Linked DNA regions of Drosophila melanogaster. The protein of the gene in region 2 interacts with the protein of the main gene of each other region in a pairwise test. Each region holds a gene or a part of one and is shown on either strand. Other genes may lie near its edges. The genes, in order: CG7849 and Ube4B.

Region 1 (3,790 bases), on a different chromosome or scaffold from region 2:
GTTAGTTCTTTAATATAAAAACCACCGAAATCTATACTATTTTTTCTTTAATATTCTTATACGTAAATACATGTCGCTTTAACTAATCACAACTTTTTTCTTTTTGTTTTTTAAAGACTTTTCCGACGATCTTCTTTTTAGATCGGCCTTTGAAAGCTTAATATTAGACATCTCTTCCTCGGACTCATTATCGCTGTCACTGTTGGCCAAAATATAAGATTTTAGCGTATTATTAAATCACTCAATATGTAGTTAAACTTACCCCACAGTGGGCATCTGATCAAACATATCCTCGTATTCATTGTCCACAGATGTTGCGTTGACGCTCTTATTTTCACTCACGTTTCTATCCATTTGAAGGTCAGCGACCTCCTCAGGTTCTTCTGTTACTCGTGCCTCGTTTTCAAACGGTCGGATAAGAATCTTAGTGGCCTTTGATTTCACGTAGCATTGGTAGAGCAGCACTGTGGTTTCGGAATCATGGATACGAACGTATCGGTCTAGGCTTGCAGAGCTCAGAAAGCGACCGGTGGCATCTAAATGAAGGTCACTTATCCCGCCTGTGAATCCCTTGTACGTATGCACATGAGTTTTCATGCGTCGAGTGTCAAAGGCTTTTAGAGCACCCATTGTGGTACCCGTGTAAATAAAGTTTCCCTTTGCCACTAAAGTCGTAAAACTCATCCCGTGCTCCTCGCTGGCAAAACATGCAACAGGTCGACGCTGCTTACGCGTGTCATAGATGCGAACATAGCCGGTTCGCGAGCAAGTGGCCAGTACACTAGGCCCATCCACAAAGCCGATATCGCTGTCCCAAACCGGAACCTCTAGCTGCAGATAGTCGTTGGGCAAATTCTTCGAGGTGAAAATCTGCTTACCGTCGGCATTTAAATCGTAGACCTTTAGATTGTTTTGACGCTCTTTGCCGCCAGTTGCTACAATGCTTTTGACTTGGGCGCACTGGCGCAGGTGGTCCATTTGGTCACCCGTGGCGATAACCACGGGCTCGGACTCGTCGTTCGCCTCTAGCTCCAGGCTCTGTATCTCTCCGTTGCCAATGCCGGCAATAAGCTTGTCATTGTATCGGGCCAGACCAACAATTGGCGCAGCATTGAAGGATACTGTGTTCCTAGAATGTCCCTTTTCTGTGAAGGAGTGAATCTCCACGGCGTCCTTGGCCCGGCCTAGAAGGATCTCCGTCTGATCGTCGTTGCCAAAGGCCAGAGATGTGACGCGGGAATCCTTATCCAGGGCGCACAGATCACTCAGGTTGCTTTGTCCATAAGGGGTCTTCTCGGATGCAGGCACCAGGTCTAAAAAGTTGAAGTCATTATTATTATGCTGTTCGATAAAGAACAAGCGGACGTACGTTTAAAGGAGCCCGTGTGTGTTCCCACATACAGTTCGTGCTTCGCCGTGTAGTTTACATGTTTGGTATTTGCAGTAGTCCACTTCATCTCAAGACGCGGTTTCTCTCAATACTTGCGATTAAAACGTGAATTAATGGTATGCGGCTATACAAATTCGTGCGGTCAAAACAAATCCTACACGTGCAATAGAGATGTAAAAGACATATGCTTAATAATCGATGTTATCGTTTATATCGATATCTAACGGCCACCGATATTTTAATAACATTTAGGGTAGTCACTAGGCTTCAGTTTGCTGTTTACCAGTTTAAAACATTTTTTTCGTTGAAAACCACTTCTCTTGTGAGAATATAGTGATACGCATAAGACTTTATTTGATTATAACTTCTTTAAGTGCAGTTTTGTTGTCATTTTAAATGCAAGCAAATAGTATGCAAGCCACAGTGAGAATATTCCCGTGAAATTTGTAAAATTTATAGAAAATTTTAGCCCAATCGGATTTGTTTCTTGTTTTTTCGTGCGGTGGACTTAATTCTTGTTTTGCAGTGATACAAGCATGTTTTTTTGCGGGTATAAAGACCACAACGTTTTGAGAATTATTTCCAACTAAACTTTTTTTTAGAAAATTAAAGAGATATTTGAAAACAACATTTTATATGTAAATTTTATAAATTAAGTTTCAAGTGCATGTCTATACCCTATTCAGTACTGGGCAGCACATGTGCTCAGCTGTTCGTGTGTGTTCACCAACACTGTCATGTGAATTTAAAAACAAATAGCGCACATACGTAACTTAAAGCAGAAATGGCTCTCACCAAAGTTTATGATGCCGCCACAGTGTTTAAGCACATGAATGGCATTCTAAATGTGTACAAGCCATCCGGTATGAAGGTGAAACACGTGCGCAATGCTATTCTGAGCAACATTTGCAAGGGTAAGCCTAGCGCCATTTAAAGAACAAATTGAAATTAAAAACAGATCTGCAAAAGGACTCAACGAAATGGAGCAGAGGAAACCACGCAAGTTGCAAGAGAACATTAGCCTCCTGGGCACAGGCACTGCAGCAGATCACGTACTACATAACATAGGAGAGCAGACGGATCTATCCGACCACCTTCTGTCCACCGGACCGCGGTACCTTCCGCGAGACTTGATCTGCACCACAGTGTCCAGCCTGGGCGATCACACCAGCGGAGTCCTGCGTAAGTCATGTAAAACATTTTAAATCCAGATCTAACCATACTTTTGTAGTCTTTGGGATCAACAGGGGAGCAGGCCAGTCTAGTTCTATTCGGAAAAATCGACCAGTGCGGGTCTACCATCTAATCGGGCACCTAGGCATCGCAACCGAAAATAACCTACCAGACTCACGGGTCATAATGCGCTCCAATCACCGACACGTGTCCGCAGACAGGATCAGCAGTCTAGCCGCCTCCATGCAGGCATCCCATCAGCGTAAGATGTTTGAGCTCTGCGGTGTCGATTTGCAGACCCAGGAGGCCTATGAACTGGCCTGTAGGGGTCTCCTACGCCCAGCGGACGACAGTCAGCCCGTCGTCTACGGCATTAAGCTGATTCACTTCGATCGACCGCACTTCACCCTGGAACTGCACGCCATCAACGAGACGCAGGAGTACTTAGCTACGCTAGTGCACGATATGGCTTTGGACCTCCGAACCGTGGCGCACTGCTCCCAACTACGCTGCGTGCGGCATGCCCATTTTGATGTGACAGATAGTCTGCTCAGACACGCCTGGCACTTGCCAGGAATTATCAAGAACCTCCGTCAACAACGTGACATCCTGAGGGCGCATCCACAGCTTCTGCGACAACAGCGAGTGGAACTGCGAGCTACAGATTAATTTAGGAATTCATTGTAATTGAATATAGTCAAATAAATATAGGCAGATAAACTATAAAGCAGTCAATCAGGTCAATAATTCTGGTAATAATTTTTGATAAGAATATGCAGAATATCTGCTTATTTAAGTCAGCATAGTTTATTGACGGTTACAGTTCAAAATAGGTCATTTATAAAAAAAAAACGTAAGACTCTAGTTTAGTAAAAGTAAGATGTTTAAAACGTGATCTTATTAGAAGCGGTAGCCAAAAACCATACATTTCACAAATTTTTTTTGAATTAATTCTAAAAACAAGGGAGATTGCTATAGTTGATAACCTCGACCCATCGAAGGGTCAGTTGTTCCAAATTATGTAAACTAATTTCTTCGGTGCTCAATATCATTAAGAAGTGATTTTTTTCAGGAAATGTGTCATATACCAAACCTTGTGAATTTCAATGGTCACGCAGTTGGTAATTTAAAGAGAAATAGGTAAAATTTGAAAATAAGCTATATAATTATAGCTCTACAAAGACATTTAGGTTCAGTAGGAAATAGATATTTATAGCTGTTTTCCCG
Region 2 (7,914 bases):
ATATTTTTCAAACATCTAAATTATTAGGACTCCTAACGGGAGCGGTGATTAATGGTAACTGCTACTTGCAGGCCACCCAAAAATCGGGGGCACCACAAATAAACTAAATCCTGCACAAAGAATATTTATATTTATATGTAGAAGATAGGTAGACACTAAAACTGCACATTAAACTAGTCCTAAGTATAGCAGTATGGGTTAAAGGGTGCGCGACTTAGCAATTGTTCCGCTTGCCACGCTGCTCCTTGCGCCAGGCGTCGATGCGCTGCTTCAGCTCAATGTTGGCCACCAGCATGTCCTCGGTGAGTGGCTGTCGGTTGAACGGGTCCGTGCAGCTGTTGAGCAAGTGGCGGGTAATAATCGCCCGATCCATCACCGTGCCGGAGGGAAGCACCACGGGGTCCGACATTAGCGTGTCCATCAGCGGATCCTTGAACTCATCGGGTGCGTCGGCGCATTCATCTTCAGTCTGTAGGTTGGTAACTGCAAGGGAAACGTTTGCATTTGCATTTCAATCCGATTTATTTAGTTGTTTCTTAAGTTCTTACCATAGATTTCGTGAGCTCTCTGTGTGAGCGCCTTGAATCGCTCTACCTCTACCGCCGATCGGAGGGCCAGTCGCTTTATCCTCGATGCTGCCTCATTGCAGATTTGAACGTCGAAGGAGCGCTCGTCGGCAGCCAGGGCCTCAGCGAATCTATCACAGTCCAGGTGGAGATATATGTCGAAGATCTGGGCCAGCAGACTGCGTGGCTCCCAGCCGTATTTTGCCGGGTTCTTGACCTTCAGGTCGTTGCACTTGGGCCCGGCCAGCTGTTTCAGATTGAAATTCAGCATGGAGCTCAGTCGATCTACGAGCTCGTCGCGCATGAACGGCTCCTTAATGTCGCTCTAAAATTGATAATAGGTTTAAATTTAATAAGCACTCTCCACACTCTATCTCCACTCACTGTCAGATAGTGAAACAGATCGACTGTCTCGCGAGCCAAGGTCAAGTAGGAGCGACACTGGCGCTCGTCCGTCGCCAGCTGAGTAAGTCGGCTCTGCTGCTGCTCCGCGCTCATCTTGCTGAGATTGGCCTTATCTGATAGCAGCTGCTGGGTCTGATGTATGCGCTTCAGGTTCTCCAAGCACTCGTCCAGCAAAAAGGTGGTGTCGTTCATCAGCATATTGACAAACTTTACGAACTGATTTCCCACCCGGGATTCACAAATAACGGCCTGCCGGTGGATGGGGTTCTCCCACATGGACTTGAACAGATGGCTAATATGATATCTGTACAGGAATAATATTTGATTAATTACACGTGTTTGTAAATCATACATTAAGCGTATTAGTATGAAATACGAATATGTATATATTCATGTTTGTATTGCCCAGATCATTTAGCTGTATATAAAAGAGTGTTTATCTACGCCTCAAATAACTTTTGGAACTTTTCCGTGCTGGGTTACCACAATGAGGGTGCGTAACCGCCGTTATGACTCATTCTAAATTATGAAGGTAGCTCGGTTGGCATGCTCACCTAATGGTAAACTTATCGTAAAACTCAGTGCTTTGGCCCGTTGTCTCTACGTCCACATAGAATCTCATCAGTGAGCTGACCAGGGCGTTCTGGGCCAACTCATGGTTCCACATCTGTTTGGAGCACACAAACAAAGCTTTAGAAGTATGACACTTAGGCGATTGTAACCGGAACCTACCGCCGCGTTAACCGAGTTGGCTGGCTTCAAGGAGAACACAAACATCACCTCAACCAGTTTGGCAGTCACATATGGATTCTTGATGAGGTGCGATGCGCAGACGCAGGTCAGCAGCCAGGTGATGATCGAGTGGTCGATGCCCTGACGGATGTCCATGTTGGCATGCTGCATGGTGAACAGGATGAACTCAGCGATGTCATCGATGTACCACTCGGGCAGTGCGGAAAATGCATCCGTTGGTAATAGCTGCTGCACGGGCAGTTTGGAGATGAAGGGTCCCTCGATCGGGCGTCCCTCGAACTGGTATAGCATGAACTCGCAGACAGTAGAGTAGAATTCCGTGCAGCGCTGGAGCAGGCCCGGATCCAAAAGAGTGATCTCGCAGCAGGTTTTTGATCTAAAATTCGGAAGGGATACCAAATTAGATTCAAAGATGTGTCACACTTAAGTGGAAGTGACTCACTAAACGTGTGAAGGTCACAAAATGATGAAATGATTTTAAATAACCCACCGATTTAGCTTTCGCAGTTGCTTTTCCCAGCGTTCCTTAAACTGATTATTACGATTGGCGTAGCGGGAGTTCATCCAATGGGACTTGGTACGGTCCAGTTCGTCGATGAGTTTCTGCAGCTCTTTAATGGCGCGCACCTTTTGGCGATAGCGCTGGATGGCAGGCAGGTAGCCCAGATGATGGGCCTGTAGGGTGAGGAACCAACACTGCGTCTGGAAGTTTGTGTTCTCCACGGGCTGGCTAAAATCACGGGCCAGGAAGTTGCGGTACTCCTCCTCGCTGTACCTAATCTTCGTGTCCTGCTCGATGTTAACGAGCGAGTTCTTGTAGTAATGGAAATTTGGCTCAATGCGGTCCAACTTGATCTTCACCGACAGCTGCTGCAGCACGCTCATCAGGTTAATCATAAAACCGTCCCTGGCCAGCAGCTTTTCGTCGCTGGCGAACTGCACACGACGATCGTTGTGCCGAAGGATACTGGCGATGTATTCCAGCGTCTTGGGACGACTGCTAGCATTTACGCACAGTGAATGGAACACTACGTGCATATTGGTGCGCATTGAGTGCAGCTCCTAAAATATTAAGAATTCATTCAATGATTACATTATGTTTAACATTACATTAGTAATTAGTTACTCACCCATCGCAATCGAGAGCTGGATGCATCTTCAAGCTTGTTCTTGGTGGTAAACTCCGCAAACTTGATGTTCTCCTCAGCGAACAGCGACACGGAAAGGAAGGGTCCCAGAAAGCTGCATTTTACTATTTCTCGACCGGAGATCTTTGTGCAGATGGGTGGCAGGAAGTTGGGCTGCCTGGATACGAGATCTGCGATGGGTCGCACACTGCCCACCTTGATGACCACCAGTTTGGACAGCCATTCGATTTGCTGCACACTGATCTTGGAAGTGCAGATATTGCGCTGCATTCCGGCAAAGAGGCCACGAAGCACCTGACTGAAAATTGTGTCGAATGCTTCGCGATCCTGGTGAGTGTGGGCTATCAAGTCGATGAGGAAAGGCTCGCTCACCTTGGCCATGTACATCAGATCCAGCAGAGCAGACTGATCCATGTGGCCGTTGAGATTCTGGTAAATGCGATCGGTGAGCACCAAGACGGTCATTCGCATCACCTGTTCAAACGCCAGCTGCAGAGCAGGCTGGGTGAGCGGCGTCTTTCGGGAGCACTCTGTCTGATAGTTCTGGTAGCAACGGATTAAATAGAGCAGCACGTGGTGTTTGGTGGTGGCAACGATGCTAAGCACTGGTGGAGCCACGCAAGTACCAGCTGCCTCGCTACTAGTTGCTTCAATTGGTCCAGATGCGCCAGCAGCCGCAGCCGCAGTTTCTCCGCTGGCAGTTGCTCCACCGGTGGCTACTGCGTTGGCAAGGATTTCCTGTACTTCCGTATCATCTGATTTAATTTTCTTGGCAGAGGAGAACTCTTTATCGTCCGCTTTAACAGAAACGCCATCTCCTTCGATCAGCTCACCGTTGTAGATCTTCAAAACAGCCTCCATGAGCACATTGGCCACAATGCACTCGAAGTCGAATCTGCGGTGTGGCTGCTGCTCCAGGAAGCTGGCACTCTGGGCACAAATGATGGACCCGCTACCGTACTCATTCCACGTGGCATTCAGTAGGCGGGAGAGCAATTGTTCGTTTTGCTCATCCGCACTTTTTTTTGGACCGACTACAGTTTCAATGGACAACTCGGCATTTCCAGCGGATATCTTGCAACTCTGCAACACACTCCTTTTGGTGGCCTCGGCTGTTGGCAGGCTGAGCGCTGTCGTCATATCCACATCTTGCATTGGTGTCGAGACCACCGACTTCATCTCCACATCCATGTCCGGTTTTCCGCTCAGTTCCCTCCAAGCGGGCGCCGAAGTGGGCAGCGATACCTCCTTTTCGCCGGGCGTGGCCTCACGTACCAGTCGAGACTCGCCAGAGACGTTGGTCGGCTTCCGTGGCGTAGTAGTCAGGGGCGCCAGGGCACACTGGATGCCACTTCGGGCAGCCAAAGTCCGAAGACGACGGGCGCGCATCTGAAAGAATTAAAGAGGTTAGTTCACCAATTTAGCTGTTACCAATTAAAGTATATCATAGTTTAAAGTTCGTTTTCCTTTTACAAAATAGTTTACTTGTATTATTGATTTAGATAACTTTAAATATGATATTTTGTTGCTTCATTAAGTTTGCGAAAACGATATACCTCTTCTGCGGATAATTCGGTGACCACCACAGACTCGGCCGGCTGTTGCGGCTGCACATCGGGGTTGGGTTGCTCAGGCAGTTGCTGACCGGGTATCTCGCCCTGCGCTAACTGGGGCTGCTGATCCTGTTCGTGCTGATCCTGTTCGTGGTCCTGATCCTGATCCTGCTCCTGATCATCATCCTCCTCCTCCTCCATGGGCTTTTGTGGCGGCTCTTCTTCCGGCATTTCTCGGATCCGCTGGTACTCTGGGAAACAATGCGCAGTTGTGCTACCAAATCTGTTTTCGCCTCTCTCACTGTTTTTGTTTGTTTGTGGCGTAGTTTTTCCGCCGCTTCTTCTGATGCTGCTGCAAAATAAGAGGCGATGATGTGGGTTAATGAACCAAACAAAAGCACGCGCACTCGACAAATAAATAAAATAACAAATAAAGAGAAAATTAAAACAAAGTCCAGCGGTCAACGTCAAGTTCACGCGAAGACAATGCCGCCATCGCCAAAACCAGATGGATTGGCCGTTTCTCTTTGTGCTACGCAACTACGCACTAGATGGATGATGTGCAGCATAGCTGGGAGCATACCAGGACAACTGACCTGCCGCACACAGTCAGTGTGCGAATCAAAAGCGGACGCAGATCGGCCGAGGTTGACAAAAAGTGCACGGCTGCAACTATTTTTAGAAGAGGATTTCTCGAGCACTGGCGCTGCACTGCACCCAAAACAAGTGCAGTAAACAATATCATAACATATGCGGAATCGGATGGCGAAACCTTATATAATGTTTAGGGATAGCCGATCGAATAGGATCGGATCGGCACGGGATATCACCAGCTCATTTGCGCATTTGAGACGGCGGATAAAGTACACAAAATCGTGGGATATATAATCGGACATAGGTTCGATGTGAGGGTGTGTGAAATACGGAAAATCGAGGATTGCGCCGCACATATATTCGCACTTACCTGACTCTACGGACCGACTTTCACCTGCTGCAAAACGTATTGGTTGTGCTACGGCCCGTAACTATTGCATTTTACGGAACTCTATATGGTTTCGACAATTCACCCGAACAATTCCACGTCTGGTGGTGACCACGCAAAAAATTTCTCTTTTGTTCTGCGAGCTTCGTGGGGATTGGTTATCGGCCCTCGGCTGGCTATATCTATGTGGGGATCGCCCGAATGCGATCCGTATATCGACACAAATGCTTCACTGGCCAGGCGATGGGCTCAAGAAATACAGACCTCCGAACTTTCCTCCAATTGAATTACTTATAATTTTTGGGTTTCGCGTCAGTCGACGAACAGTGTTTCAGTTTGGTCTGGTGGCCGACAGTCACACTGGCCGCGGCGTGGTCACACTTAAAGATGGAATGTTCGCCGATAGTTGCTTTAACCCTTGCAGGGCCCTCATATTTTTATGATTTCATTATCGAATTTAAAATTTCGTTAAACATCCGAAAAGTTGTGAATCATTTGAATACTATTTGTAATTTTAAATTTGCACTTTTGTTTTTGCCTTTAATTGCAATAATGTTCTCTAAGCATCTATACCCAATTTATATATCCTTTTTGCTCTAAGAGAACTAGTTTGAAAATATCTGAAACTATTGTTTGTTTGTCGTTTGAAAATATTTAAATATCGCTGAATTACTAGGTGCGAACTGATTAACGATGGGAAATCAAAAATTAGGCCTACCAAAATGGTTATATTCCTCATGACACATAATGAAAAGCAAGTGTTGTTTAGTTATTTTTGTTCAACAAAAGAAAATCATTTACTTCATTTTACAAAAATGTTACAATTATGTGGAACCTAATTATGAACCTAATACCTAAGTAACCGCTACTAGAAATCCGTGTATCGCTGTCGCAGACTCTGCCTTTTGGCAACGTGATGCATCTGCAAAACACAAGCATTTGAATTACAAACTGGCATTATATGTGGTTTTAATTAGGATAAGGACTAACCAAGCGCTGCTGACGTCGTTCTCGATTCATTTCGTAGGCCTTGAGCAGCGAGGGGCACGTGCGCTTGATGAACTCCTCCGATTGCCAGAAGAGTCCGCCTTGGTTCTCGTAGCGCAGAAGGAATTCAACCTGCAAGGATATTAAGGTTATTAAATGATACCTACAATTGGGATAGAGGGCAAACTACATAAGATTCAGACTGTTTAAAAGTTTTCCTTCGCTTTACAAAGTAAAGAAAGCTGATCTTTGGCTTATTTATTTTGTAAAAGCAAAAGTCATATAGCAAACCTTTTCCAGCTTAGAATTTTTGTTTACTAAATATGATATGAATAAACCAACAATGTGTTGTAAATGAAACTGTAATCGAATTCATAGAAAATTTGTGAACCCTAAACCGTACTGATAGTTTATTGCTTTCGTATTGCAAACGTACCTTTCCCGCCTTGGTCTCCTTGCCCAGAATGCGTTCAATGCCATTCTCGGGCTTGATGCGTCTGAAGAAGTCCTCGTCGTTGTACTCGGTGACCACCTCCTCGCCGACTTCGTTTAGCATATCCTCGATGCTGAGCAGTCCATCCTGCAGCCGCTCGCCGTTCTGTTCGACGCGCTGCACGTATGTCAACGGGTGCTGCTTGAGGTAATCCTCCGCCTCGGCGATTGTCTTGGCCAGATCGAACTCCTCCTCCGCCTCCTCCTGCTCATCGTCATCGTTGTCCTCGTACTCACCGTCCAGCTCCATGCCATCACAGTTAGCGCCGCTGGGCGAGGAGGTTCGTTTGGTATGCATGGAGCGTCGCTTTCTTTTCATCCAGTTCCCGCCGTCGTTTTCCTTGACGTCCGGATGGAAGCGTACCTTCTTCACGCGCACGGACGACGAGGCGGAATCTGTTGTTTCGGGGGTGGACTGGCTGGGTGTCTGCTGCGACTCCAGCATGCTGCCGCTGATGCTACTAGAGGCGGACGTGGGTGTTGATGTGGATGTGGATGCTGATACGGAGGCGCCGGTGCTCTCCGCCAGCGTGGTTTCCTTGAGGTTCTGTGATATAAGCTTGACTTTCGTCTCGAAGGCAGTGCATGGAGATGTGGGCGATTTGCTGGCCGGATGTTCTGGTGGGGATTGACTGCTCTGCGGACTGTCGCCCTCGCCGCACGACCCCGCCGCAGCTTCAGTCTTGTGATCCGTCTGCTTGCCGGCTCCCTCCATCGAACCGGATTCCTTGTTAATCGATTCCGCAGCGGAATCCCTGCTGCAGTTGTCCAGATCTCCGACTGTGGAGTCTCCGTCGCCCGTCGTCGTTGTCTCCACCATCACACACTTGATTTGCATAGATTTGTCCAGCGAGTCACTGCCAGCCGAGTCATCATTGGACTTGGTATCCATGTGTTTGGGTGGCTCCGTGTTCTCTGCGTTGGCTCTCTATCGTTTTGCGGCTCTGCTAAAGTTCAATTTTAGCTAAATGCATCGCAATTCATTTGTAATCTTTCAACAAAACGGCTTTCTCAGTGTTACCGTACCG

What was found.
Region 1: the proteins of Ube4B (region 2) and CG7849 interact in a two-hybrid assay, tested with the Drosophila melanogaster proteins (one large-scale study listed by BioGRID).

The regions. Positions count from the first base shown.
Region 1 is NT_033778.4:6,074,802-6,078,591, forward strand, and holds CG7849 (uncharacterized protein), read left to right. Parts: upstream 1-2,108; 5' UTR 2,109-2,174; coding exon 2,175-2,304; intron 2,305-2,359; coding exon 2,360-2,572; intron 2,573-2,621; coding exon 2,622-3,232; 3' UTR 3,233-3,287; downstream 3,288-3,790. Other genes in the region: l(2)k09848 (lethal (2) k09848), read right to left, coding at 79-199, 263-1,313, 1,370-1,457.
Region 2 is NT_033779.5:13,013,401-13,021,314, forward strand, and holds the start of Ube4B (ubiquitination factor E4B), read right to left. Parts: upstream 6,035-7,914; 5' UTR 5,390-6,034; intron 4,778-5,389; 5' UTR 4,657-4,777; coding exon 4,429-4,656; intron 4,262-4,428; coding exon 2,855-4,261; intron 2,787-2,854; coding exon 2,215-2,786; intron 2,101-2,214; coding exon 1,704-2,100; intron 1,639-1,703; coding exon 1,526-1,638; intron 1,276-1,525; coding exon 951-1,275; intron 892-950; coding exon 549-891; intron 484-548; coding exon 215-483; 3' UTR 1-214. Other genes in the region: CG9933 (uncharacterized protein), read right to left, coding at 6,276-6,329, 6,398-6,526, 6,831-7,778.